Schizosaccharomyces pombe: one gene and its partners. The gene in region 2 interacts genetically with the main gene of each other region. Each region holds a gene or a part of one and is shown on either strand. Other genes may lie near its edges. The genes, in order: hrd302, sap114, adg2 and sst6.

The links.
Region 1: mutations in sap114 (region 2) and hrd302 together harm fitness less than expected from each alone (positive genetic interaction), as found in Schizosaccharomyces pombe (one large-scale study listed by BioGRID).
Region 3: mutations in sap114 (region 2) and adg2 together harm fitness more than expected from each alone (negative genetic interaction), as found in Schizosaccharomyces pombe (one large-scale study listed by BioGRID).
Region 4: mutations in sap114 (region 2) and sst6 together harm fitness more than expected from each alone (negative genetic interaction), as found in Schizosaccharomyces pombe (one large-scale study listed by BioGRID).

Annotation. Positions count from the first base shown.
Region 1 is NC_003424.3:4,944,340-4,952,117, forward strand, and holds hrd302 (protein Hrd302), read right to left. Parts: upstream 4,194-7,778; 5' UTR 3,746-4,193; coding exon 1,751-3,745; downstream 1-1,750. Other genes in the region: noc202 (Noc2-Noc3 complex subunit), read right to left, coding at 1-1,475; SPOM_SPAC1B3.20 (uncharacterized protein), read left to right, coding at 4,277-4,419, 4,464-4,557; GTPase Ypt4, read right to left, coding at 4,931-5,535, 5,584-5,683; DNA-directed RNA polymerase subunit Rpb10, read right to left, coding at 6,301-6,326, 6,390-6,543, 6,860-6,895; U3 snoRNP-associated protein Nan1, read left to right, coding at 7,093-7,226, 7,398-7,778.
Region 2 is NC_003424.3:1,169,780-1,176,938, forward strand, and holds sap114 (U2 snRNP-associated protein Sap114), read right to left. Parts: upstream 4,670-7,159; 5' UTR 4,377-4,669; coding exon 4,250-4,376; intron 4,201-4,249; coding exon 3,894-4,200; intron 3,831-3,893; coding exon 3,514-3,830; intron 3,429-3,513; coding exon 3,054-3,428; intron 3,011-3,053; coding exon 2,691-3,010; 3' UTR 2,572-2,690; downstream 1-2,571. Other genes in the region: cardiolipin synthase/ hydrolase fusion protein Crd1, read right to left, coding at 157-250, 390-481, 528-682, 725-1,491, 1,583-2,077, 2,121-2,177, 2,220-2,347; ept1 (CDP-alcohol phosphatidyltransferase class-I family protein), read left to right, coding at 4,792-4,928, 4,979-6,002. UniProt on the Schizosaccharomyces pombe protein: Involved in pre-mRNA splicing. May be involved in endoplasmic reticulum-associated protein degradation (ERAD) and required for growth at low and high temperatures.
Region 3 is NC_003424.3:4,077,834-4,086,068, forward strand, and holds adg2 (protein adg2), read right to left. Parts: upstream 3,324-8,235; 5' UTR 3,118-3,323; coding exon 1,105-3,117; 3' UTR 556-1,104; downstream 1-555. Other genes in the region: ted1 (phosphoprotein phosphatase), read right to left, coding at 3,650-4,942; apt1 (adenine phosphoribosyltransferase), read left to right, coding at 5,853-5,936, 6,115-6,597; alpha mannosidase Mnl1, read right to left, coding at 7,187-8,235.
Region 4 is NC_003424.3:4,773,936-4,780,978, forward strand, and holds sst6 (ESCRT I complex subunit Vps23), read left to right. Parts: upstream 1-1,753; 5' UTR 1,754-1,902; coding exon 1,903-1,959; exon of another isoform or gene 1,960-1,998; coding exon 1,999-3,405; 3' UTR 3,406-3,503; downstream 3,504-7,043. Other genes in the region: met14 (adenylyl-sulfate kinase), read left to right, coding at 1-325, 432-571; SPOM_SPAC1782.12C (uncharacterized protein), read right to left, coding at 751-999, 1,056-1,132, 1,229-1,259; protein mug162, read right to left, coding at 3,504-3,563, 3,602-4,021, 4,074-4,212, 4,319-4,494; SPOM_SPAC11H11.03C (uncharacterized protein), read right to left, coding at 5,246-5,549, 5,588-5,732, 6,088-6,250, 6,306-6,314; pheromone p-factor receptor Mam2, read left to right, coding at 6,753-7,043. UniProt on the Schizosaccharomyces pombe protein: Component of the ESCRT-I complex, a regulator of vesicular trafficking process. Binds to ubiquitinated cargo proteins and is required for the sorting of endocytic ubiquitinated cargos into multivesicular bodies (MVBs).

The DNA of each region.
Region 1 (7,778 bases), 3.8 Mb from region 2:
CTGCTTTCAACAAAAGAAAAAGTGCTTTCAAGTTTGTTCAAGAATGTTAAAACATGCTTCCCCGGTGCGGATTCATTTACCAGTCCACGAAGTTGTGCGATTATGGGAGCAGAGAGCTCTGGAAAGGCAATTGAATTGGAAAATATGGCAAAATATTCAGTCATTAGCAAAATGACTTCTTTTCTGACATTGTTACGATAAGATTTTGACAACAAACATTCTTTAGGCACATGAAGAGTAGAATACATGTCAAAGTTATACATTACTTCCTTATCATCAGACAAAGGACTCGATCTCCTAAGAACAAATGGGATCATTTCTAAAAACTGAGAAGACAGGGGGATGTAAAGGCGGGTAGATCTGCAAATATTAACAAGTGACTTTAAAAGATGGAGACGTAATGGGTAATATTGCTCCGTAGGAATTAAACGAATGCAATCCAGCGTCAGGTTTATGGCGATTGGAGAAATTTCTTTGGAGATTGATTCATAATCATTCCATAAAAATGATATAACATGTAACCAAAATCTCAGCGAAAGCGTAAATTGCCAATTGTATATTAATTTGTATGCATCACTGCTTTCAGACTCCTTCAAGCAGCGCTTCAAATGAGCATCCAATTGGGAGAGATAAGCGAAGGCAATTTTTTGATAAAACCGTGAGTTAAGAGAAAGAAGTTCAATCAAGAACAGTTGAAGCTCTTCAAGGGTATCGAAATCGTTAACTTCACTGGGAGAAGACTTAAAAAAGTCCAACAAAGGCGAGTAAAATACTTGAAAAACTGCCACACTCAACGACGAATCAATTTTGCAAATATGATTAACTGCTTTTTGAATATCTTCCCGAGCTTTAGAATGATTAACAAAAATATTACATAGCTGTGTAACCAGACCATTGGGAAATTTAGAAAATTTTTTTATGTGAAGTATAGTATCAAGGGCCGAAGACAAATTTTGATATCCCTTTTTCTCAAAATTAAATTTTGTTAATAAAATCTCGGCATACTCTAAACGAAGGTCCTGAAGAATCTTTGACCTAGCGTCAAAATCCACGTTGTCCAAAGTCTCCTTTAAGTCCTTTTCAACATTTTTCCACAACGCATCTGCTTGATTGGTCCCCGATAATTTCTGACAATATGCAATAGCAGCAAGTAAATCCTTTTCACTCCGTCTTTTTTGAGTAGAAACTTGATTTAAAGAAGCGCCCTTGGAGTTTACATTAAGAACCGAAATATCTTCTGATCCGTCTTTCTCATGCGATGTATTAGAGGTCGTTACATCTGAATATAGTTTAGAAAGATCTTCTTTGTTTTTATTGTTATCATTTGTTCCACTTTCCAGTTTATTTTTTGTATGTGAATTTCGATTTTTTGTGCCGTAAACTTTTTTTGAACGAGCTAACTGCTTTCTCCGCTCGATAGTATTTTTTAGGTGGTTTTTAGTAAACTTTTTTGTAGCCTTGGAAGCTTTACCCATTTCCCCGAGAAAACAAAAACACCAGTTCAATTGCAGATGAACGTAGTAGTAAATTCACTTCGCTGTAAATGTGTGAGAAATTCAGGTTGAGTAACACGGGTAACAGTGCAAGGATTTCTCAAAAATTAGCAGCTTTTATGGTATTTGAAAAGTGAATTGGAATATTTTGACTGTAGGATTAAAAATATGTGCTCCTTCAAGCAGCTGATCATGCATATAACGATAGCTATATTGGCACTTGTGAAGCATATTCATGCGATTTAGATAAAAAATACTTACCGTAAACGAAGTAGTTTCAGTAATTTAATATAAAGTTGGTGAATATTGATCCAAAAAATGGCAACTTTTAAAGGGAAGTAAGAGTTTTGGTTAGAAGATAGCTCATCCAGCAATCGTCTAGCAATATAAATATCTTGATCTCGTCCTATTCCGTATTCGTGCATATATGCCATGTTCCAAAGGCCCATACCGATTGAGCTTTGCTCATAAGCAATTTTGTAACATGTATATGCTTTAGAGTAGTCTTTAGGGGTGCCAATTCCATAGTAGTAATAATCACCCAGTTTAAAAATGGCATCAATATCACCCTGAGCGGCAGCACGAGAGTAAAACTCATACGCAAATTTATCATGAGCAGCCTCCTGCTCAGATTGGGTATAGTTAAAGTAGCGGAATACTGAGTTAATTAGAAACTTATTCTCATCCATCAAATATGCTGCATTAATTTCAGCTAGGGCATATCCCATTTGAGCGGCATATAAGTAATAGACGAAAGAATTATGAAAATATCCATATTCGTCTATTTCTTCTAAAGCTATAGCCATCGAGGTTGCAGAAGCTCGTATTGCTTCCACAAACTTTTTATAGTATAAAGAGGCACTTATCATTGATCGACTAGTTCCAGTTCCATTATAATAACAATCAGCTAAATATTTGTAAGAGATGACACTTTTTTGAGTAGCAGCTCTTAAAAAGAGGTGATACGCCTCTTCATAACGCGCTTCTTCAAGACGAATGAGGCCAAGAAACATAAGTGCATGGGGATTTTCATTCATTACAGCTAAATTTATTAGTCTCATTCCTTTTTCTCGATCAACGCCGTTGGAAGTTAAACCGTGATAAGCCATGTAACCTAAACCGTAATAAGAATTGGAATCGTTTTTCGTTGCACCTCTTTTAAACCACCAGTATGCTTTGTCTATATCGAATAAAGGACCTTTATCAAATAGATGTAAAAGTCCTAAATATCCACAAGATTGAGCGGCCAAGGAAATTATGCTCTGTGGAGTGTTAGCTAACACACTATTTTCTGAAGTGTATGGCCAGTATTGTCTTGAAACCTTGCGAAATAATACATCGGAAACAGTGTAATTCCTTGGATACTTATACATCCCGTGCAGACGTAATTTGGCAACTTCAAACATTAACTCATAATCCCAATCTTCAATTGAATTTGACATTTCACGAAGGTACTGACTCCTAGTATGTAGGGCCTGATAGGCATCAGAATAGGTATAAGCAGAAGCAGCACCGTACACACCCATACCGTTTTCACCGGCAAAATTATAATCCTGAATTTCAGGCCATATACACTTTAAATAGGTTACATTGGAACCACATTCTTCTTCAAATAAGTGGTCAGAAATAAATTTGTAATGCTTCACAGCTTCCTCATCCGATTGAGGCATATTTAAAGCGATTAAATTATGGTACGCCAGAAATTGATGAGCGTCTAAAGAGCCTTGCTTTGCTGCTAACTCCCAATGTATCCTAGCTAATGCTGGGTTGTTAGAGGCATACTCACTAAAACTAGTGGAGTAAAAAAATCCCATCATATTATTAGCAAATGCACTACCATTCGCTTTTTGTAGCATATCATAATACTTGACGGAATCTTCAATTTCGGGAATAATTTCAAAAAGACCAAAAAATTCAATGTTTGCGAGATAAAGCATGGCATCCGTGTTATTATCATGAGATGCGGATCTTAGCAACTCAATTGCATGGTTTCTTTGAATAATAATCTCTTCATACGTTACGTCTTCCTGCTCATAATAATATCTAAGAATTTCCAAAGCCCGCTGAACTCTCACAGATGGAGTTTCTGCGAAATCGTAGTCGCTCAATACCATGGATCCTATGTTGTTGTCTACATATTGTTGTGCATTCACGATACGCAATAAGGTAGACAAAGAAAGCAAAAAAAATGCTATGCTTAAGATTCTTTTCAAAAATAAACTAACGTGAAACGTCAGAACCGAAACCCCCATAATTTAATAATGATATGTACAAGTTAACAATGACAGTTGTAACTGAAAACAGGGCAAATTTACCCGCTTGAGACGAATTTTACAGCAACAAAAGTGTAACGTTTTTATTGATAAATTTACCGGAGCTTTTCTTTCAATGACTTCCAACAACAAACGCGTCTAAACTAACAGTGGAACAATGCAAGTGTAAGTTATCACAAAAGCGAGAAAGGCAAAGCATTCACAAAATATGAAATGCTCAAAATGGGAAAATAAAAGCTTTTGTTATTGTTAGCCCGCACCTTCAAAACAACTATAACAATGTAGGATTGAATGGCGGAATAAATCAGGCAACCATACCAACTTGGAGTAAATCTTCTTGATCTTAAATAACAAAACTTAATTGGTTTTTTTTAAAAAGATTATGAAAAGAGCGAAGACTGCCAATTTATGGATATGTTATGTTGATGTCAGGTTATAAGTTTGACGTGGAACAGACGATGTGAAACCAACGCAGTAATCGTTACTTACCAAGAACCAAACACATAAAAAATGAGTTCTAATTCCAATACAGATCATTCTACTGGTGATAATCGTAGTAAATCTGAAAAACAAACGGACCTAAGGAATGCATTGCGGGAAACCGAAAGTCATGGCATGCCTCCCCTTCGTGGGCCTGCTGGTTTTCCTGTAAAGTATGCTCTCAAAATTTTTTAATATTAATTCTAATACAATATAGTCCTAGACCATTCTCTCATGGGGGCAATGCGAATTTGGATAGATTGAATTTAAAAGAACCCGTTGATTTGGAGGGTCCAAAAGACGAACAATAAAACCCATATGGACTTTACGGACTGAGTAATTGGCCTTATTCGTTTGTAATGAATTGAATCAATTGATGACTTCTATATATGCGCTTCATAAAGCAAAACTTCTATAGTAAATTTACCCTTTTGTAAATGATCCTTATCGGACTTATTTAAAGTGCGATTATTCAAATAAATTATTTAATTCTCTTTGTTAAATGCAGCTCTATACTCTAACATCTTCCTTCAGTAAATATGGTCATAATTATATAGATGTATCAATCATCAAACTGTGTTTAAGTTGAGAAGAGCTTTCGAAATATCATGAAAATATCCTCATAAACTTAAAAATAATACACGTATGATAATTTAATAATAAATAATTGAATAACTGTTTTTTTCAGCAGCAATAGGATCTGGTCTGTCTTTCCAAACGGACCAGGTCGTCCCAATTCGTAATTGAAGTCCACCAATTCGAAGTACTGGAAGGGTGAACCGGTCTACGGAAACTTAAATCACCATATTGTATACCTAAGGATTGATCTTGGGGATCAATTTCACCCAACTCAATCCTAGTTATTATGGTGGAGACAACGGAAAGAAAACACTCTTCAACGTTGCTTCCTGTATAAGAACTAGTTTCATGCGCACTAGATATATGCTTTTCTGAGCAAAACTCAGCTGCCTCTTCAGTAGAGACTTGTCGTTGGTTTTGTAAATCAGATTTGCTACCAGCCAATACAACACATATTGTTGATGGAGCCATAGCTCGAATATCAGACAGCCAAGACGACAATTCTTCAAACGAGTCCTTGTTTGTCACATCATAGACTAAAACAGCACCTGCTGCTCCACGATAGTAATTCCTAGCCACGCTTCGAAACTTTTCCTGACCAGCAGTATCCCATATTTGTAACTTGATTCTTTTTTGCTGGTTTCCCATTCCAACACTTATAATCCGACTTGCGAAATCGATTCCAACAGTATGTGATACTTGATCATCCCCTAATTTCCATTAAAAACTTGAACATTGTTAAATTTGCATGTACTTACATTGATTCTTAACAAATCTCTGTAACAAGCAGGATTTGCCAGTTCCCGAAGGACCTGCAAGTACAATCTTTACCAAATAGTCATATGATTCTTTGTCCATAATAATAAATAGAATTTTTGGCTTTCAATTGTTCTCTTCTTGACATTTCAAGCTCGTAGGCTCCGATATTGGTATGATGCTCTGGATCACGTAGCACTAACAAATGTAGACAACACCAAAAATATTATTTATTAACTTCTGATTAAAATGTTAAGAGGAAAATGAATTTCTAAAGGACGTAATATGCAACTTCACTTGATTGGCAATGAAACTATAACTCTAAGTTCTTGCATCTACATATCTACACCTAAAAATTCAGTTCTGTACTGTAACAAAACTAACCATCCAACATCAGCTTACAGAATGATTATATGAACATAGAGAAAAAAATAAAAAAATAAATGCAAATTGACTATCCTATGTCCAAGCCTCTATTGAACTGTCACAAAGCACACAAGCATATAATCAAAGTCAAAATGTCAGAAGAATCATGAAGAAAAGCCAAAATTTGCGCGTTATTTGGAATCTATGGGTACGAAATGAAAAAGTGAATAATTAAATGATCGGTCGGTGTGCTTGAGCAATGATGTAAAACTAATTGAAATTCTGCAACAATCCAGGCTTCTCGGCCTAATCTCAAGTATAAACCTCACATTCTTTCAAGCGTGGCTAACCGATTAAAGATTCTTTTGTTTTGACAACGCTAAACACTTAGTTAGTTTTGTTCCTAAGTTGTTCGCAGATTAATCATTATGATGAAACTTACGATTATAGCAAAGTAGCTTTTCGATTAAGTCGACATGAGTAAGAATCATACGACGACAACAATAACGTTGAAGGCCAAGTTTATCCAATGCCTCACCCTCTGTGTTATCCTCTTGAAGGAGTGTGAGATAGGTGTCCCACTTGTCACCAATAACCTGCTGTATTAGCAAGCAAATAATTAAAAAAATAATAGATAGAAATTCTTTGAACAAATAGAAATAAGCGTTCGTAATATACAAACATATGTATAATCGCCCCAAAAGTGGATCAGTCCTCGTTGGAATCAGTAGCGAAAATGGGGCTATTTTTAAACTAAATCTAATACCAAAAAAACTATAATCTAATGCTTCAACTTAGGCTAATCTTAAACTATATACAATACACGAAGCAATTGTGAAATTTTTCTACCGATCCATAAAAAATGTGAATCGCGTTCAACCACCTCCTATAAATAGCAATTTGTTTCCTTACCTTTCCACAAGAAAAGCAGCGAATAGGAATGATCATTTTTCTAACTTTGAACACCCGTCGCCTTCTTGACTTTGTTAGTGTTGTTGGCAAAGGGAAGGTAACCGTGCGTATTGGAAGGAGGTGTGTTCGCCAGGAAAAGTTTTATGCTACAACCAAGTATTTGGCTTTAACCAACCACCATTGCGTTTTAATTCCAACCGGTTTTATTATTTTTCGTTGGAGGAATAAAAATTATGGAAGGGCCTAATTCTATGGAAGTTGGTTCATTGGAGGTCAAAAAAAATGATAAAGACCCTTGGTCTAAAACTGCATATTTAGGGGGTCGTTTGGTTTCAAAGATCCCTGCAGTTTACTCTAATGATAACAAGTATGTTTTTTTTTATTAAAGGTTGGGTAGCCTTGAACAGACTGCTTTTGCTCAATTTTCTTAATTGAAATATATAACACGAAATGATCTGTAAGAATTTCATTCCTGTCTGTACTTGCCGCTGCTTTTCTAGTATTTTTCAGTTTTTAAGTTATTTTTACTAATTTTTAGATTTGTATTTCTTACTTATGATACTTTTATTGGAATTTTCTCTTTGATTACAGGAGATTGTATCAATCGAATTTTCTTTCCCAATAATTTGGCCAATTTATTACCCGTAGCTGTATTATTGTCTCCTGAGAATGCATTTGAGCTATATGTGATTTTTCAAAGCGGATACGTCTGTGTTCATGACTGGTCGAATTCTGAACTTTTGCGCACCATGGAGATTTCCACTCGTGTCCATGCAGCTTCTTTTTCCGGAAAGCTATTGTTTGCTGTAACCGATACTCCTGCTTCAGACTCTGCTTCTTCACAAGATCGATTTACTCTTTATGCCCTTTCCCCCTCCACTTCTAAAGAAGGCAGTTCTATATTGATTCCAACATTTGT
Region 2 (7,159 bases):
TCTATCTGTGTTGGGGACTAAAAAATTTCATTGATTTCAATCAAACGTCTAATCATTCATGTAATTGTGCTTTTCATATAAACTACCCATTTTGGCTTGTCCCATCTATAAAATAATTCAAAGCATTATAAAATTTATTATTTTTTACTTTTTTAATCATTGTAGCTTTGATTTGCCTATATTTCGAAACGTATTCCGTGAAATGCAATAGGAAGCACCACTAGCAATTGTAGTACATCCAACAATGTAACTAATACAGTTAGTAAAAATAATGCACTTGAAACGCCAGTCAAGAGGAAGAGATGGGAAGAAAACATGTCTTTAGATTGGGGCTAAAAGGTCAACGTAAAGATATTTACTTTCTTAAAGTTCAGGGAGACTAGACTTACAATAAAGGGCTTTTGGCAAAAGAGGCATCAAAAGGAAGTATGGGCTCTGTAATCAAAAGTCCGAGTAACAGCAGTTGTAAAGCTGTATTCCACTAATTGTTTACACAAGTCAGTAGATAATAAACCATTACGACATACCTTGCTTATTCTGGTAGGTTTTAATTCAGTAGTTGGTATCGCAAAATCGAAAAATCGTCTAAAAGTTTTAGGTGCTGGCAACGATTTATAACGAAGATATGAGACAGCCGAGACGAGCAACACATCCCTTCCAATAATCAAGCTAGCAAGAGTTACTAGATAAGGTTAGATATTACTAATAAACACAAAAAGCATACATGGCATAGTCTCACGCACCGCTAAACATATTGTCAAACAAGTCATTAACGTTTTATCGGCTAACGGATCAAGTACTGTCCCAGCAATGCTGCCTAAATCAAACTTTCGAGCTATATACCCATCAACCAAATCCGTAAATCCAGCATATAAAAAAAAGCAAGCAGCAGCTTTAGTATAATCATAAATGTAAAGATAAGCAATTAATGGAGCTGAAAGGAGCCTTGAGAATGTCAGCAAGTTTGGCAAGGTAAAAATATTCTCACGCAAAGGCCTTTGAATAGGCTTACTGTTATTACTTTTTGTCACAGTGTTTAAAACACGAGAAGAGGTGTGAAATCCACGAACCTCGCCCATTGACTTGTTCAATTTGGCAGCAGGAACGTGTTTGGATAGAGCCCAGCGCACACCTTCCCATACATTATCAGAAACGTGCTTCGCAGAATATTTAGGGCTATTGTCTCCTTGGAAGATACCAGTACGTACTAAAATACTAGTCCAACCGTAATTATTCGCACCACGAATATCACTTTCGGGGTTATCACCAACCATGAAAATTTCCTTGGGAGGATTGGTGATTCCTAAAGTTTTATGCTTCTTCATTAAAATGTTTTTAGCATAATCATAAGTCAGCTTATGAGGTTTTCCATATTTCGTATTTCTTAAGTCCTTTCCAGTAAGTTCTTTAAAAACACTTTCACAGCAAATTGCAAAAGCTCCTTGACCTAAGCGGGGAAGAGGATACTCATTAGGCCAAATTAAATCCGCACTATAAAAGCTGTTAGCATTCACTCATAGTATTCGAGTACAGCTTGCAAAAATATTTTTACACAAAAGATACTTTCCAAGAAATAACTTACTTAGAAAAGTAAATATCGGGACCTTCATTTGCTGTCTTCGAAACTGTTCCTAAAACACCATTCTTCGACTGGCCCAATTCCATCACCAATTGAAGATCCAAACCAAGTCGGACAGGATCGACATAAGTGAAAACTGCTTCAATGGGTCTAGTAACGTCAAAGTCTTTTGCATCTTTAATATCTTCTTCGTTAAAAGATGTGAAAGGCCAAAATGGAGTTCCTAACTTTGCGATGACATCGAGTTCATTGATAACACTTTTAAACCCATACTTTTCAGCAGTTTCACGGACGCTGTTGTCTTTTCCTCCAAGAACCAAGACGTGCTTATACTTATCCGCAAGAGCGCGAAAGGGGGTATGTGATTGACAAAAATCATCCTCTGTTAAACTTACGCTCAATGTCTTGGAAAGACGCTGAGCTCTAACACTCTCATGCATACCACCTCCATTCGTTAACAGAATAAAAGGTATATTATTTTTTTGCAAAAATTTCAAACTTACAAGTTAGTTTGAAAATGGTAGTTCATAGTTAAGCTTACGTCTTCGTTCCTTCTTTCAAACCTCTTCCTCCTCTAATTAAAACTCCATCAATACTGCTTTGGTTAGTTTCAAAAATCGATCATTAATTACTGTATTACTCAAATGCGAAACAAACATCTGCAATAGGGCTTTTAGTAGACGATTCGGTCGTAAACTTTCGAAACGTTGAACGCCCTAACTGCCTGGCAGCCAAATGCCAAGATCTATAATTGATAGTATGTAGCATTTATTAAAGCCGATAAATGAAGAATCAACAATGTAAGAAGTAAAAAATTAAGAGGTTTGTGCGGTTACGTGGTATGACAACTTAAGGATGACGGTGGGCGGGTATGAAAACCAGACCCGCATTTCCTAAGTTAAAATCCAGCTTTGTTTAGTGTATTGGACTTTTTATAATAAAGAATATTTGTATTCTCAATTAGTTGGAGAAAGTCTACAACACCTGGTTTATTTACATCTTATTTATTTCACGAGTTGTAGAAGCAAATTAACTAATAGATTTCGGCGTCCTACGAAGCTTAAATAAAATAAAGTAAAAATTAACAAAATTAAAAAAAGTTCTATGAAATCTACCGGCGTTTATTTGTGGGAGTTGCTCCCCAAGCGCTCTGAGTAGCAGCACGTTTTCTTCGTTCGATTTCCTCTTGAGAGATTTCTACCCCGTTTTGGACGTCAAACAAATCAGTCCGTTGACTAACCAATCTTTTCATATTTGCAGCAACGTTCACGTTCTCTAAATTTAAAGTTGATTTCCTAGATTCTTCAACTTTGCGCTGTTCCTGCCAGCGAGGGTCAAGTAATTTTAGACGCATATGCTCTTCTAGTTCTGTAGCGGGAACCAATTCACCTGAGAAAGGCGATATCTCCATCGGAACTTTGGGCTGGAAAGCTAAACAGGGTCAGTAAAGTTACAATAAGGAATATAAACTTACCCTTTGGTACTGGCTTTTGTACCTTCGGCTGAGTAGTGGTAGACAAAACGGGAGAAGCTTGTGCGGCAGGAGAAACTGAAGTAGTTGAAGAAATACCTCCTTTTTCTGGAGAAGCAAGTGATGGAGGAAGAGAAACACCAAATTCTTGTTTTTTAGGCGCACTTATGGGCTCCCAAGGCTCCGCTGTAGGAGGAGCTTCCTCAATAGTGTAATTTTGGTCAGGCATGGTAAACATGGCAGACTTTTGTTCTAAAGTAGCAGTTTGTAAATCCGCTAAATTCGTAGGTTTAGCTAATTTTGCATGTTCATCGGACTTTGTGAATTGAATCACTTCAACAACGACAAAATCGTTCCAATCAATTTGTGCATATTCCACTAAGACAAGTTAGTTCCAATTCAAATGGTAAATGAAGAATATTGGACTTCCTGAACCAGTTTTTGCATCTCAATATACACTTACACTTCTCTTTTTCGGCTTCTTCCTTTTGTTTTTTCTTTTGGCTCTCCATATGCGATTGCCACCTTACACGCGGCTGAATTTTAGAAAGTAAGCTATAAGGGTCTCTCACATTTTCACGAAGCTCCTGTTCTGGCGAAGAAATGGGCTCTCTAATTAGAGAAGTATATTGTTGAACTATACGCATAAAGTAAGGGTACAATGCATTATTTGGCTTTAAAAAATCAAATTGAGTGTTATTCCACTCTTTTTGAGAAAGACTCACTAAGAAAGAAGAACCACGAACTGCCGCATATCGCGCAGTTAAACGGAGCACGTCTCTAGATTCACGGTTAATTAGCAACTTCAAAGAAGAAGGAAATAATAGTTGAGATGATACTTACAAATCTAGTGATGAAATAGAAGGAAGTGGTTCTGAAAACAAGTACGGTGAGGGAGCAGGAATAGTTGCCTCTATAGGTTTTTGAATGGGACGAGCCAAAGTGGATGTTTTTTGGGTTGACAAGCCTGTGGCATGACTCTTCAATTTTCCCTCCCTCGCTTCAGTTAATTTGTGCTGATAATATGGGTGGTAGGGGTCATTAGCATGCAAGAAAGCAAACTTAGTATTTGCCTGTTCATTCTGGCGAATTTTTTCTTCAAAAGCTGGGCCATTTCTGGCAACGTAACTAGCAGATTTATCAATTATTTCTAAGCTACGTTAGCAGGCGCGTCTATTGTACTAATTACTATGACTCACCTCGAATTGCTGGAGGAGGTAAAATTACCCCTGCAGGGACCGATGAACTTTGATCAGTGATGCTTTTTTGGTGTTCTGTTTCATTATTTGTCGTATTTCTGTCTTGGAATTCCATTAAAGAACTCATATGTGAGACTTATGCAGAAAAAGGTAGTGGTGGAAGGACACTTGTCGCACAAGGCAGATGAAGCGATGGACAAGCGAAAAGAAAGGACTATTGAAATTCAATAGAAGTTTATAAAAGTTTAGGGCGACCTTGCTGCTCTAAACAGTTGTTGCCTAGGGCATCCGTAATCCACTGCGGATGGACAAATAACATCAAAACGGTTGATAGCAACAATTATCCTTACAATTTAGAATTTAAAAGATAGTTATAGTGCAAGTTTTTTTGCAAGCTACATTATACATTTATTTATCGGTAGAAGGTTTATCTGCATTCGTTGCTTTGCCTTTATTTCTACACACTAAGACGCGTAACATGTTTACCCTCTACCAGTACTTTATCGGAGAATAAGGAAAGGATATCCAGGTAGTTTCTCAAGATGCAGTTAAACCGGAAGCAGTTAAAGAATCTTCATAACTATAAATATAGTGCGATTGATAACTCACTTCTTTCAAAATATATTTTGAAGCCGTACTGGTGGAATCAACTTTTGAAGGTGATTCCCATGTCTATGGCGTATGATCTACACCCGTTTGCTTGCTTATTCTTACTAACTCTTTACTTAGACCTAATTTGATTACTTTGATCGGGCTTGGATTCGTTGTTATCAATATCCTTACTATGCTTGTGTACAAGTATCATTATGAGATGGATGCTTTCCCATCATGGGTGTATGCTTCTTGGGCGATTGGCCTTTTTCTTTACCAAAGTTTTGACGCTATTGATGGCTCGCAAGCGCGTCGTACTGGCACATCATCTCCATTAGGTCAATTATTTGACCATGGAGTAGACGCCATCAATACGAGCTTTGAAGTTTTACTGACGATTGAACTGCTGCAACTAGATATGTTTAGCTCAATCCTTACTCAATTTGCCAGCTTATTATACTTTTACATCTCTACTTGGGAAGAATACCATACGGGTACTTTGTACCTTTCATACTTCTCGGGTCCTGTCGAAGGAATTGTAATGGTTATTGGACTATTTGCCCTTACAGCTATTAAGGGTGATTCTTTCTGGCTCAAGCTACATCCCACTCCCGAGTCATGGGGATTTGTACGTTCCTTTCTGCCATACTACACATATGGATCATGCTTGTACAACTTTATGGCATTTGCCCTGCTATTGAATGTCTTACAAAGTTTACGAAATGCTCTTCAAGCCGTCCAAAAGAACAACGGAAGTGTGATTAAAGCATTGAGTGGTATCCTTCCCTATTTCCTCCAATGGATGGCTGTCTTTTCACTCTATGCCAAGTATCCTGCTTTCTTTGAACATCATTTCCTCACTATTTTTTGCTTGAACGCTTTTATCTTTGCTTATTCGGTTGGAGTGGTAATTGTTTCTCACATTACCGAATCTCCCTTCCCATACTGGAATGTGCTTATTCTTCCATTCTTGGTGGATGCCGTGGACGCCTATACTTTTGGCGTATTAAAAAACGTTCAGACGGAATACTTTTTTTGCTACGTTGGAATTTGCATTGGTGTTTACGGCAACTTTGTTGCACATGTCATTGCCATGATTACGGAAGAGTACGGCATTAAATGTTTGACTATTCCATCCAAACCAGAGTCCAAGAAGAATTGAACTAGATGATGATGGTTTGGACAGAATAGAGATGAGAACAAAAGGGTCCAGAGAGATTTTGTCATTGATAACCTTTCGGTCGATCTTTTGTTCTGCAATGTATCTAACGGATCAGAAGTATCAAAATGATCCATTTCCTAGTAGACAGGTTTTTTTCGGTTGTGTGTTTTCTGCCAACAATATGTTACTTTTGTTTGTTTTCCTGCTGTAGTAATAAAAGTTGGTTTTTTTACCAGAACATAATAATGAACAAGTATTTCACTTGCGACTTCGTTCACTAAATGATCCAGCCTTTCGTATCCTTTTAACTAACTGTATATACTGATGAACAAATGGTCCATTTGTCTTCTACACTGCAAACTTGCTTTTCACCGTGGAATACCGGGGCTGCACTAACTAAGATGACTGGTTCCACATGTGCAGACCGGAGCACTTTTCGACAACCTTCTTTTAATTAAGGTTCTTATGGCAGTTCGTAACGATTTAACAATTTCAATAAATAGCCATCGTCCTGTCCCATTGCTTCTTTGGGCATTGGTAGAGTTTGCCCTTTTAAGGCAATCTTTTGCTACATAAAGGTGACTCAAGTTTACGCTGCGATTTTACTACTTTTCTAGCATATGATCTACAAAAGGTCAGCGAAATTTTTCTTTGACTAGGAAAATGGATTGAGGTCATCTTCGGCAAGGCAAGCTGATATTTAATTTAATTGTTCATATCGGCAACATTTCGTAATTAGTTGAAGGGTATGAAAAACGGTTCTACGGTTATCTAGATGTGTTTATTCACTGTTTCAGCATAATATCACTTCCGTTACGTGCGGGGCACTTCGTCATGCAAATTGGTGGTTATATAGTATATATAGAGAGACAAGGCCAGCATTATTAAATCGTCTTCAAGCTCCCTTTTTCCGCTACACTCATAACTTTTACGAAATAGCGAAACGAAAACGAGACATAACGTAACGAAACGAAACGTTTACTAGTATATTCTTGGTTTATTTATTTTGTATTTAAACCAGTTGAAGCATAGTAGCGTATAAAGTGTTAATTTTTTCGCATTGAAGGGAATTTTGATATTAATATTTTGAGATTTTAGAGACACATAGATTTATTTCTTTAATCCTTTACTCACACTTGCACTTCCCCACCACCTAA
Region 3 (8,235 bases), 2.9 Mb from region 2:
AATGAAAGCTGGTAATGGAAGAGTGTAGATTTGTGGGGTGGGCGAGTATATTTAGCGGCTGGTGATTAGGAAGCGCAAACGAGTACGATTTTACTCAGTACGTAATACGTTCCCTAATAACAACAAAAAATGATTTAAATATTCAAGCTTTCAAAATATATTTTTTTTATAATAAAAAAATCATTTGATAAAATGTCGGACTGTTCTCTTCCAAAAAGTTGTACTTTTGAACTTTTTTTTATGATATGTAAATAAACAAACATTCGTAAAATTATATTTTTGCTCGCCCTTAAAATAACCCCATATTCTAATCTCATATCGTCTTATAACATTACAGAAAGCTTATGCATAACGATTGCGAACAACCTAATCTGGAAGAGCTTCCATTATTACATTGGTCTGTTCTTCAAATATAAAGGAATGGTAAAACGTTCAACGTTTTTATTTCAATTAACATATACAGCCAGTTCTTAAATGTAACAAACCCTATCAGGATAGTAAAAAAAACTAAATAAATAATCTGTAATATAAAATGATATGTAGACCGTATGAAACCTTTTAAGACAAATAGCGGTTAGCTATTTGGCGTAAAATATAAAAATAAACGGAAATCTCTTCTAAACTAAAGTAAAGACTAACGGTATAATTGGGTATGTATAAGATGAAAAAGAAAGACCTTTGAAAATATCGAATCAATCGATCATAAACGCAAATCAAAAAGCCTTTCAAGTGCAGCAGCTTTCGAACTATCGTTTAACAGATAAACACGAATGCTTTTTACGTTTGTTGTTTTTGAATAGCGGGTTATCGAAGAATTTATATTTTTGAAATAACCCTTGACAACAAACATGTGTATGCACGTAAAATGATTTATTTGGGAAATGAAAAGCAAGGGACATGAATGTTTTTTTATCGAAATTTTCGACAAATGAAAATAGATGCATGGTAAATAGGAAAATAAAATGAAATCAAACAAGCCGAATAATGTATGAGAAATAAAAATGTGAGCCGAAGTGCACTTCTCGAGTGAAACGCTGCTAACGGGTAAAGGAGCATCCCAGACGAAATATTAATACTAGAGAACCAGTCCCCGTCAAATTAAGTCTAGAATAAAAACAATAAAGGGATAAAAACACAAAGCAATGAGATGCGTTGCAAGCTAGTGCTGCTTCCTGCACTAGGCGGCAAACTCATAGAGCTACTCCTGCTTGAAGAGGAATGAGCAGAAGATGAATGGACAGAGGAAGAGCTTAAATGAGAAGTAGTCATAGAAAGAGTGCTACTAGGATAGGTCGAAGTGATACTCGCCGATGAGCTTCCACTCTCAGAGACAGTAGAAGTGGTGGAAACAGTAGAGATAGTCTCCTCGGGACGGGAACTACATGTGGTAGTAGTCATAGTAGTAGTAGTCTCTTCGGGAGACGTAGTGTAAGTAACCTGGGTGGTGGTAGTTGTTTCTTCATTAGATGAGCTACTAAGAGCCGAAGTACCAGAAAATGAGGATGTAGGAGAAGGAGAACTAGAGAAGGAGGAAACAGATCCACTGGTACTTACGGTAGTAGGAACAATAATACTGCTGTTAGAATAATAGGGTGAAGAACTAGTAGCGGTTGCTGAGCCAGTGCCAGTACCAGTAAATGTAACGGTGGTGTTTGAAGCAGTCAGAGTAGTAGTGTATGAGCTATTGCTAGACGTGAAAGAAGAAACACTTGATGGTGCACTGGTAGGGATAACACTACTGTTAGAATAGAATGGTGGGGAGCTGGTAAACGTTGCCGAACCAGTACCAGTACCAGTAAATGTAACGGTGGTGTTTGAAGCAGTCAGAGTAGTAGTGTATGAGCTATTGCTAGACGTGAAAGAAGAAACACTTGATGGTACACTGGTAGGGATAACACTACTGTTAGAATAGAATGGTGGGGAGCTGGTAAACGTTGCTGAACCAGTACCAGTACCAGTGTATGTGATAGAAGTGTTTGAAGCAGTCAGCGTAGTAGTGTATGAGCTATTGCTAGACGTGAAAGAAGAAACGCTTGATGGTACACTGGTAGGGATGACACTACTGTTAGAATAGAATGGTGGGGAGCTGGTAAACGTTGCCGAACCAGTACCAGTACCAGTGTATGTGACAGAAGTGTTTGAAGCAGTCAGCGTAGTAGTGTATGAGCTGCTGCTGGAGGTGAAAGAAGAAACACTTGATGGTACACTGGTAGGGATGACACTACTGTTGGAATAGAATGGTGATGAGGAAACAGTTGCCGAACCAGTGGTAGTGGTACTTCCAGTAGTAGTAAGGTTAGTACTATAGGAAGGAGTGAAGCTACTGAGACTAGAAGAAGAGACTGTAACGGGTGTGGAAGTCGATGTAATAATAGACGTTGGCAAAACAGATGATGAAGACAGGCTGGCAGACGATATAACACTGGAAGGTAAGAAACTAGATGTGTTATAATAAGGAGAGCCTGTAGTAGTAGTAAACGATGAAGAGCTGGGAATCATAGACGTGTTTGTAATGGTGCTAAACGAAGAAGTGCTCGACGCTGGCGGAGGTAAGGTTACAATGTCGGTCGATGTGCCTGTCGAGACACTAACGTCTGTAGAGTATGGAAAACTAGAAGTAGCAGATGAATAAATGGTAGAATTCGCTGTCACAGTTATAGCAGTGCTTGGAATAGAAGTGCTAGCAGAAGCATGACCACTGTTGGTTTGTGAACTAGTGAAGGTAGTCATGCTTTGAAAAGTACTACCAGTAGTAGAAGAGATACCTTCGCCGCCAACAATATAAAAAGTACCAGATTGGGCGTAAATAACAGAGTCGTCGCGAATAGACGTAAAACTAATTTGGTAGCCATAACCTGGCGAAAGATCTAAAGCAGGAAATGTGGCATTTTCATCAAAAGTATTGATGGTCATTATGTAACGGCTTGTTGGTGGATACTCAACTTCGTTTATTAACCAGACATTAGCCTGCAGGGGATCAGTGCTGACCACACTCCATTCCAAGGGTTCAATATGTCCACTAGTCCAAACGTCTGAAGAAGAAGGAACATTAATTTCCATGCCAGCACAAAGCTTGGCTAAGCTAATTAATAGCCCGCTGATGGTTAATCTTCTCATTTCTCAAATAAATCCCTAGTTCGGCAATTGGCAGTGCACAGGCCTTCAGCAAGACGAATACCCAACTAAAAGTAGATGGTTAAGGAAAGAAAGTAAGCGAGAAAGGCGACTTAATATAGCACTTGGGTTTCTGATATGACCTAAGTGTATTAATGCTCAAAAGTGGGGCAATGCTGGAAACTGTATCGATGTAAACAAAAACAATCGAAAAATTGTGGATTCCAGAGAGACATTTATATTTGCACCTAAATTAGATAACGCATTCTTGGGTCGCGTTACTATGGTAACATTGGTCGACTTTGTGTAAATAAACATCCAGCACTACTGCAAGAAAGTACAAAAATGACGTTAAATGTAATTAAGGCACCACGTTAATTCAATGAATCTGCAGGTTCTTGGTTAAAAACCAGCAGAATGGCTGGTAAAAAAGGTTGGTTTCTCTCAAATTCACCTAAAGGCTGGATATATTGCCTGTTTAAGAGGCTGGTGTAAATATAAAACTGTTCATTTGAACAATTAGTGCACAACAATGTTAGATATGTTGCAATGATATTACCAATAAACGTAAGATGGTAAGTACGCATACCGATATGTGAAGAGCCCACCAAATATAAGATGGTCCTCCGTGACTCAAGGTATAAGTGGCATATATGTCGGAACTGAATTTTGACTGTTTCAATGAAGCCTTCTTCCATCGTTGGCCAATGAGTTTTTGAATCAGAAATGTAACAACCGAGGGTGTGTTCTTGGAGGACTCTGTAAGAACATCATTTGTCGCGATCAGTTTGACAAAACCAATATTTCCTCCAAAGTACCCCATTGCGCTGGGTAATGTATGTTCGATGGCACCGTTCGGGTGTTCGTAGTCACAACCCATATGATCATGGCCAGAAAGGACCAATTTGATGCTAGGAATCAATTCAAAAATTTTCATAGTAGTATTATACGATAAATGATTTTGAGACTTGACCCGAAAATCCAATTGACGAACGATTCTCGGTTCGTCAACACACACATTAGCTGGTTTGTAGAGTGGCACATGGGTGAACAGTATGGTTGGAATAGACGGCTCTAAAGCAATGTCGAAAAGAAATTGCCAAGCATCCCTAGCTTCTTTTGAAAGAGCAAGTATACCTAATGATGAAAAACTTTTACTGTTAATAATATCGCTAGGGTTCGCATCGTAAAACTGAACATCATCAAGCGAAAGGCTATTTATGCCGATCACACGGACAGGAAATTTAGAAACATTGAAGTGCGAAACCCAATTTACCGGGCCCATAGCTTGTTCCCATTTGCTAATTTGTGCGTCTGAACTTTCGCAGCCATAGCCAATGTCATGATTACCCGCAATCGTCCAAACGGGAATGTTACCGTTTTCAAAAGTACGTGCTGGTAAACTGGAGTTTCCTACTTGCCAAAAGTTTTTTGCCCCAGTGATTTTTTTCAGTCTTTTAGCTCTTTTGTTGAATTCTTCGTTATCCAAGTGCTGAAAACTGACCAAGTCACCCAACAGAATCATCGCATCTGGTTGACCCCAAAACTGATTCATATGTACAAGGTGTCGTAAAAACAAATCATTCCCCCAAAGATCTAAAGTGCCTTTAAAAAATCCATTTGCTTCGATTTTATGATTCCCTTCAATCTGAGGATCAGCAACCCCCATAATAACAAAAGAATTTTCATCTTCGAGTTGCAGCTTTCTTGGCATTATGCCAAATAGTAGAGGATAGGCATAGTAGACAGCTAAAAAAACTAGGCAAAGATAATGTAAAATAGACAGTTGTTTGTTCAACCATAATAAATTCGGATGTCTTGCAAACATTATTGACTTAATTATGTCAACGTAAATTAAAAAAGGGAACGGAGAGAAGGAGCGATTTTTGGAGTGCCTATTTTTACTTAGGAGCAGACTAAACGAGTAATGTAGAGGCGTAAGATTTTGGTTTTTGCTTTACTTACTAGATTATATAAATGGTATACCACCATAAAAGTGTCAATAAAGCTTTTTAGAAAGATTTGCTTTCAAATAACAAGAAATGAGCAGAACAGAATAGAAAAACAAAAAGCACAAATGAAACAACAAAACTTATTTTTCTAATCCATGAAGCTAGTAAATGGGTAATTTATAGGTATAGCTGCAGTATTCGAACAAACCCACTGCTAAAATTTAGATTGCAAATCAATGGTCAAATGATTGATTCAAAATTCCTGAAAAAGAAGCTTGGTTCTTAGAAAAATGTGTATCGATGTTTGCCGTTGAAATTTTTTTCTGAATTGAATTAATACCAAGTGTATCAGTATAACTGGCTTAAACAAATTAAAAAATAAGCTTTCTACTGAATGTAATAGCAAAAAACGGCTAATAATCTTGACCGAAGTTTGTTTAATGATGAACAACGGATATGACTGAAATTGCTTGAAGTGTATATCAAACTAAAGAAGGAATACCTCAAAACATGGAGTTGTGGCTGACAGTTTTCACGAAGAAAGGAATGGAAAAGAGCGTCGAATTTCAAACATAAACGTTTCTTTTAGAGCTCGTCTTAGCTGCCAAAGTTAACCCGGTACACTACTTAGTATTAATAGGTGAATTATGACTGACGTTTTTTACATTAAACGGATGGTAACATGTTACTTGAAAACAGCAGTCCAAAATTTTCGCTGCATAGACGGTAACGGAAATTGAGTATTTATTTTTTTTTGTAGAAGTTTTTACATAGCAATTTACTAAAATGTCCGACGATAGAATCAATTACCTTAAGAATAAACTTGTTCAATATCCAGATTTTCCCAAAAAGGGAATCTTGTTTGAAGATGTAAGATTTTATAGAAGGAGGAAATGCGCGAGGTTGGATAGGAACGGTGATATTATTTTGCTCAATTAGCGTGAAGTTTGAATCCAAAATACAATTCGAGAGGTTATATTATCTTTACGCCTTGCAATTGCTTAAATACTCTGTTAAATTATAAACAATAAGATGCTAATGTTATTAGATAATGCCCATTTTTCAAGATCCCAGAGCCTTTGGCATCCTTATCGATCTTTTGCTTGAAGCCGTTGAAACTGAATTCAATAACATTGATGTGATTGTTGGTTTGGAGGCGCGTGGATTTCTTTTTGGACCTACGTTGGCTTTACGTGCAAATTGTGCATTTGTCCCTGTCCGTAAGCCCAACAAGCTTCCCGGTGATTTGGTCGTCGTAAGCTACAATAAGGAATATTCTACTGATTCTTTTGCAATCCAAAAGGGTACTATTAAACCCGGTCAAAGAGTCTTAATAGTTGACGACATTCTTGCTACTGGTGGCACCGCCTTGGCTGCTGATGAACTCGTTACTCGTTTGGGTGGTGAATTAGTTGGACATCTCTTCCTTTTAGAACTTACATTTCTTCAAGGACGTAAGCGTCTTATGGCTCCTACTTATACACTTCTTACTGGACAGGATGAAGCACCTGATGGTAGTGAATTTGCTTAAACTATGAACTCGAAGTATGTATAAGCATTTCTAATTTTTAACGTTATATTTGCTTTATTCCTTTTTTATAAATGTTTAGGGTTCTGGGTTTTTTTCTATGGTTTATTCGTCAAGCTAGGATTTTTTTAGTCTAAGTTGTAAATTGAATAAGTTATACATTTTTCAACTAGTATTCTAAAAAGTAGGATTTTTGTTAGCAAATATATATAAATCGGGTGGAAATCGATATCTTAAAATGAAAAAAAAGAAAAAAGGATGCAACATCATAAGGAGAAAAGCTTATAAGGGTCATAAAGGGTATAATTTTTAGAATGGTCAATACCACGCTTTTCTTTAATATAAATAGGTAGATACATTCAGCTTATTATAAGCCTATTGACGAATCCACGTTATAATATAGCCCTCGATTAAAAGTATAATTACAAGAGAAAGCTGAATTATCCAAATATACTTTTATTAAGTATTGAATGGATAAACATCTATAGGCTTTGAAATCACGCAGCACAAATATTTTTTAAATAGTAAAAAGCATATATGACCGCAAGTCTATACACATGCGTAAATAAAAAATCACAAAACAGCGTTATTCCTAGCTGTTTATGCATTTCAGACACAAATATAGGTTTGAAACTGGAGTTCCTTGGAAGTACGAAGGGGCGTCAAAGTCTGATTGACGCACAGAGACGTTGGCCCATTTAGAAACAAAATTGTTTTCATTTTTTAAGAGAATAGTCGGAGGGATGTATGGTTTAACCCAATTGAATAGACTGTTTTGAGAATGAATATTTTCTAACGGATTAATAAATTCACCATCCGTGATGAGAATTAACAATCCTGCCTTATTGGTATTTTTTGCTTGCTGCACCCATGAGCAGTTGCCAAGTGGAGCAATATATGCTGTATCTTTGTCGAGAGTATCGGAGGGTTTTTGACACATACTGTTATTTAACAAGACTGTCTTAAAAACCTTTGAAGGTAAAGAATTATCGTTGTCAAATTGAAGGAATTTTCCAAACGTTTTTTGACCACTGTTCGGATTTTCTAGCTGAGCAATAGTTCGATCAAAGTACAATGCATCAGGTCTTGTGAAGGTCTCATAATCCGGATCGGTTAGGAAGACCGTGTCATTCTCATTTATAGATTCAGCTCCAGCAGTGTATAAAAACAGAGAATTAGAACCTTCTTTTTGAACGAATTTAAGTTTATTACCGATAATGTCGGATATGTATACATTATTGGTTACACGTTCCACTGATTTTATAGGACTAACAAGTGCACTTCCATAAAGGAGTTCAAAACCATCGGAATACTCTGGCCTCTTGCAAACACCCGATGGATCAATTAGATACGAGGGTATTGCTTTGTTATCAATTCCTACTAAATGAGAGACATAATCGTAATCGTCTCTAGATGCTATCAACGAATATAACATTGGCCATTTAGATCTGTCGTAATCTTCTGCAACACAAACTTCTCCACCGTCGTAAATTCTTTGAGAGGTAGACAGTCGTGTTTGATTTGTCACGGGAAACAAATGACCTTCTGTCGTAAAAATAAAATCATGGTGACTTCTGTGAATGGGATTATCATCGTCAAATAATAGAAACAAATATTTAAGGGTTTCGCTCAAAAAGAAAC
Region 4 (7,043 bases), 3.6 Mb from region 2:
TTACTTCAGCGTGGAGTTACAACTTACCGTTTGGATGGTGATAATGTTCGTTTCGGCTTAAACAGTGATCTTGGATTTAGTGAACAAGATCGTAACGAAAACATTCGTCGCATAGGTCATGTTGCCAAGCTTTTCGCAGATGCCTGTGTAGTTGCAGTAACTTCCTTCATTTCTCCTTATCGCAAGGATCGTGATCAAGCACGCGAATTTCATAAAAAAGATGGACTTCCTTTTATTGAGGTTTATGTTGAATGTCCAGTGGAAGTTGCCGAGCAGCGTGATCCAAAGGGTTTGTACAAGCGTGCTCGTGCTGGTGAGATTAAAGGTAGGTAATTGTTACACATTAAAGATACTTTTTCCCCTCAGGAAATTCCATTTTCTCAATGTTTTTAAATAGATGACCCTATAAAATTAAGGCTAACCGGTTTTAGAATTTACAGGAATTTCTGCTCCCTATGAGGCTCCCATTTCTCCTGAAATCGTGGTTTCTTCTCATACTCAATCGATTGAAGAGTGTGTTGAAAAAATCGTCAATTACTTGTTGGAAAAGGATTTGATTACTTTGAAGTAAACACGTTAACTCATCTTAAATACTTGTATTCCCCTTATATCCTTTCTCTCTTTTTTGTTCGCTTACTTGGGACCCAATAAAATCATAACATATTCTTTATCTGCTAGTATTTTAGAAACGACATCATTAATACTTGCGTCTGTACTGGTAAAACAAAAAGCATCTAAATTAAAGCTCTCTTAAACTAGCATTGTAGCCCACCCTGTAAGCATCACTAGTCCTCCAATTGGTGTCAAGGGCCCAAGAATTCGTCGCAGACTATGTCCTTTAGGCAATAAACAAAGTCCATAAATTGTCCCAGAAAACAAGCAGCTTCCTGTAATCAGCAGGGGTCCCGTCCAACGAGATTTCCCGTAAACTGGATGCAAAGAAACGGCCATGGTTGCCAATGAATGGAACATCAAGTAAGTACAAGCAGTGGACCATGACTATAATTTTATGTTAAAATAGTTACAATCATGAAATAAAAATGCATAAATCCTACCTTCAATAAATGTGGATCCTGAACACGTTTTTGCAACCCGTGAGATCCATATGCACCTAAACCTACGCTGAGCAGTCCTTTTTTATTGTTAGATAACGTAAAATAGGTTGTTTAACAAAAAGTAAATGTATATAAAGGTTATATACCAGTCTATTACTTGTGCTAGAACCTACCTGTCAATGCAGCTACGTTCCAAATTGTCATTATTGATAAACAAATATCAGATAATTCTTTCAATAAAAATGCAAACTGCTCGGTTTATTGCCGTAATTAACCTTTCAATAGTCTTGCAATTGTAGTATTGCTGGTGTTAAAAGAGAAGTGGAATACGTATGTGAGAACAATGATCCTCAATTATAGTTGCTACCTTAGTTTATATTTATGGATACGACACATTTCCAAAATATTGAATAAGAAATCTGAGCGTATTGGTACTTTGTGAATTTTTCATAACTGCTCCTATCAGTCTATAAATTCATATCCTAATATTATATACTATCAGATCGTCAATTTCAGAAATTGAGTATGTAGCACTTAAAATAAACTTGGCGTTAATGTTAATATGGCATCAATTGAAAATAATCTTGAGTATCGTTACCTGTTTTATCGCTTGATATAACGATATATTGTAATATTATACAGTTTATTTAAAAAAGAGATGCAGCATTGACGTTATTTATTACAACGATAAAATGCGTAAAGAAAACGACCATCTGTTCAAAATCAATTTCACAAGTGGTGCTTGCAATTAATAGGTTTTCGAAAACCAGCTAACTTTATTTGATTTCTTTAAATCCTATAAGATTTAATCACGTGCTTGCATAAGTGCGCCTCGTTTCTTTTTACCATGTCAGATCATGCAATCAATGAACACCCTTCACGAATTTTGAATACAATTGAAAAGGTACCGCTTGTTTTTTTACCAATTTAACCTGAAAAATAGATTAGATTTTGGAAGAATGGACTTGCTGAAGAACTAGAATTATTGTTTAGAAAACAATGTGAAGACACGTTTACACTTCAAGCAATTAATATTGAAGTAGATACGCAAGACGAAAACAAAATAGAAGAGGTCCGCATTTATTTGAGTACTCCAGCATTTGACAAAACAATTTTAACCTCGGCTTGTATAACGGTTCGCTCTTATTATCCATCACAGCCGCCAATAGTACAATTATTGGATGAAAAAGGAGGAAAGCATAAGTACACAAGTCTTCTACTACAACTTTGGAAAAATGAACGGTCTGTTTTTAATATCTATCGTTTAGTTCAAGCTCTAATAAAGCAAGACTTTGAAAGAGAACATACTTCTCCTCCTGAACTGCCGACAAAACTCGTTAATACTATTGAAAAGCTCAAAGTGAAAGAAGAAAATGAAGCTCCTCCTGTTATCCCTGCTAAACCATTCTCATCTTCCTCTGAACAACATTTCCGAAAGGTGCCTGCGTTACCTTCCAAACTACCGCCTAAGCCTTTAAAAATTACCGCTAATAGTTCCTTAGGACAAGAAACAAATTCCAATTCTTCCTCTTTTCAAAGTACGCTTTTTTCTCTGAATACAGCACCTTTTTCAGCTACATCACAACAGCTTGTTCACGATTCTGTTTCATTGAGGCGACCAAGTTCTAACATTCCTGCCCAAAAACCTATTCCACCAAAACCTGAACAAAATGAGATAATAATTACCAAAGACACGCCTTCACTTAAAGACAAATATTCAAAGCCTGCTCTGTTACCGCAAAAACCCAAAGTTTCTAAAGGTCAGATCGTTCAACAAGTTTCAGTGTTCTCGACAGGAAAAAAAATTGAGTCCCAAAGTTTGCTCAACCTTATAGATACAGATATTGAAACCCCTTTAAAAGGTTCGTCTGAGCTACTGTATTCAGAAGACTTTAAGCCCAATGTTGACCCTGTGAAAATTCAGCAAATTCTACATAAACAGAACAAAATTATTGAAGAAAAATGGATTTCACAAATACGAATATCTAAAAACTTAGAGGTTAAGCAAAGGCTTTTGGATCAAGAAAGACACGCTTTAGAAACACTTGCTAAAAATATTGAAAACAATAGATTCATCTTAGGAAAAAGAAGGAGAAAAGCCAGAGAAGCCCTACAGAAGTTGGACAATTTAAAAGACTTATCTGTTCAAGAACTATTTATAATACCCTCCGAACGAGAACTAAAATATTATGAACTTAAACGTAAGGACGAAAAACTGGATGAAGGAATTCGAGCCCTGAATCAGGCCTTGCATCATGAATCAATCATGCCCGCATCTTGGTTAAAGGGAATAAAGCTGTTAGCTAGACAACAATTTTTAATACGGGACGAAATGCTTCAATACTCTTAAGATTATAGTGATGTGAATTTCAGTGTCGACATTTTTAGGAATATATGGACAAGATAAATATTATTCTTTTATTTATTTTTTTGTAAAAAATATCTCCATTACCAGTAATTTCGATAATCATCGTCCTCATAACTTAGGTTTTTAAAATTTTTCTTTTCCTAGAAAGGTTAGATTGGATAACATAATTTTTGCTTACAATTGCATAAATCCATATACTAGGGAAAATAATTAAACAGGAAGTTAATAAATTGAAGTAAGAAATAAGTGGTTTTGCTGTAATTAATGAACCCGTATTTAAAAGAAGTACGGATAATCCTGCAAGAAATCCTAGTACAAAATCCTTGGAGTCAATCAACTTAATCCAAATATACAAATTAATAACCCATAATGCAAATAAATGATAGGACAAATGTACTCTGCCAAGTAAAGGAAGCATGTATTCAGAAAACTTAAGAAACAGCAGAACATTAAGTATGAAGTGCAGTTTGATAGGAATTTCAATTATGCTGATTATTGTCCAATTTTTATTTTTTAAAGATAGAGATTTAATTGACCTTATATTAAAATAGCAAGCAGCGGAAAAGCTTATGAAAGCGAGTTCCATGCAACCAACTCTCTACAATCATTAATTAAGAATTCTCCAGAAAATTTAATAAATAAATACATACATCAAAAGAATACCCAAAAAATTCCATCATCAAGCCATAAAACATAAGGCTGGAAACTTGGAACACAGAATTTTGAACGGCAGAGTATTCGTTTGCCGAACCCGCTGTAAATATGCAATCTGCACAAAGAACTGTTCCCCTGATTGAAATAGTTAGAACTTCTTCATGTTAAGATTCTCATGAATCTCAATTAGTTAAAAAATACGCCGGAAGAAAGAAATTCCTTCCGACATAAAATAAGATACCTAATGTATATCCATAGAGATGGAGAAAATGACCATAAGCTAGGATTTACTAATTGTAAAGTTTTTAAGTTCCAAGTTCCTATGTAGCCTAACAATATAATAAGAATATCGAAGAAAATGACAATACGCAAATTATTCAAAGCTGTGAGTCTTTGTTTATAGACTTCATCATCCATGATTGCGGAAGCAATTTAAATATTGTCAAATTAAAATATATTCATTCGACAATTATTTTCAGCAAATAAGCTTGAAAATTGTAGCTGTATTTAATATATGTCAAGGCAAGGCAATTTTGTGGTAAATAATTCGAGCAAAGAATTGCGAGCTTACGTACAGTAGAGGTACTGACTATTTACGATTAGTACTACCCTCTCTATCAGCTTAAAGAATAATAAAAAAAAATATATATATATATAATTCAGTTGAATGTACTAGTCATTGTTTACGAAATTTTATCGAACCTAAATTTATTATTATTATTATGTGTAAACAATTTTCAAATTTATGTAACCGTTTAATGAAATTGATATAATCAGTTGTTAAAATTAATGAACAACAATAAACAAAATTTAAATAAATTAAATTATACAAAACTTTTAGTAGGCAATATAATGCTAGATTTATTATCTTTAAAATAATAATAAAAATGAATTTTTTACAAAAAGCAGAGAAAACCTATTAAAAAAATATTCCTATAAAATAATCTATTAAAAAAAGTTTCAATATTTATTTGAAATAAAAAAAAAATCCTAAGGTTGCAACAAGCAAAAAAATCTAGAGCCTAAATTACCCAATAAATACAATAATGACCGAATCGAAATAAAAGATTAATACACAGACACCTGGCTAATAATTTCACCGCCTAAAATTTTGTTGACCCAATTTGGTATCCATGGTCGCCTGTGTTAACAAGCAAAAAACAAACTGTTACATGATGGCACAACATGTTTTTAGACGAGGAAAACAATTCGTAGCAATTTCTTCAACAATTTTTTCAGGCTCAACTTGATCAGTCAAAGTTGAATGTTGAGGACGAGAATATGCTTCTTGAGGTTCTTGAATGCAATTGAAATTTGGTTGAATAGGTGAAGTCGCAGATGGTAAATAAACATAAATGCGGCCTTCATTTACTTCACTGTTGTATTTTATAGATTGCTGCTCAAGCATTCGCACAATTGCAGGTCGTAGTTTTTCCACATGATTAGCACTGTGATTACCGCGCCCAACTATACTAAAAAAGAGTTAATTTTAATTAAGCGTAAAACATACATATGTAAATGATTGTCACCACGTCGGATGCAATTCTCAATTCGCTGTTGTACTGCTTGTACAGCTTCATCGATGTACAGACCATGTAAATCAATTTCATCGGGATTGCATTGAGAGTTTTTATATAAATAAATGGCTGAAGCCGCTATCAATAATTAGCACAGTCATAAAACACTTCTATTTTGTTTTCTCGAAGCCAATATGGGTTTGAAGAAACCCAGTGTTTTAAGTTCTATAAAGAAGCCAACCCATTTTTCTCTTAAATCACATGGCTTTATTCAGCTGTTTCAGAGCTCTTCACTTTGTACAAAGAATAGTTCATTGTCATAACTACTATTGTTTGGCGTATTGTCTGACCGATAACTACCGGAATTAGATACCAAACAAAAAGAGTGGAAAAGAAAGAAAGAAAAATCTCATGATGGGTTTGTTTTTCTATTATTGAAAGTTTATAGGGTTTGAACTAACAATCACAGCTTTTAATGAGAATTTGAGATTACCTTGTCGATTATAATTTTCCATACGCTCTCCACATAACTTTCCTTCTTGGCTTAGTTCATGCGCTTTAGCCTTGTTTCCTGCTGAATAGGCATGCTGAGCTTCTTGAAATAAATACCCTCGTTTTTCAGCCTCTTTTGACGCCAACGCTCTAAACTTTTCATACTTCAATAAAGTTAGTTACACCTAATTTCTCCTTATCTCTTTGATTAATAATTACCTCCTCCATTTCTATTGTTTCAGGTGTGGTACTAGACAATGAAGTTAACAATAGGAAATCTGAACAATGGAGTACCACAAAAAATGTTATATAATTCAGCTAGATCTCTGACAAAGATGAAAAATAATTTTTAAGAACTGTCTAAACAATAGTAAATCCTTTTGTTTTTTGTTTCGAATCTGTTTAAACTACAATTTTGCAATTGTTCGAACAGCATTCCATTGGTGTGTTTTGAGTCCATATATTTGGAAATTTGCTGTATATCTTCAAGCGAAAATTTAACTTTTGAGACATAGAAGTGTTTTCTGGAAATTCTAAACAAAGAGGAATTATTGGCATAACAGTTCATTGGGAAACTGAGTCATCAAGTGCTTTACAAATCACATTTTTAAACTTCTTAAACTAAAAAAATCTCGGGTTTATATTGTTCTTGCTCCCTCTGACATTATGAGACAACCATGGTGGAAAGACTTTACTATTCCCGATGCATCCGCAATTATTCACCAAAATATTACCATTGTCTCTATTGTAGGAGAGATTGAAGTGCCAGTTTCAACAATTGATGCATATGAAAGAGATAGACTTTTAACTGGAATGACTTTGTCTGCCCAACTTGCTTTAGGAGTCCTTACCATTTTGATGGTTTGTCTATTGTCATCATCCGAAAAACGAAAACACCCAGTTTTTGTTTTTAATTCGGCAAGTATTGTTGCAATGTGTCTTCGGGCCATTTTGAAT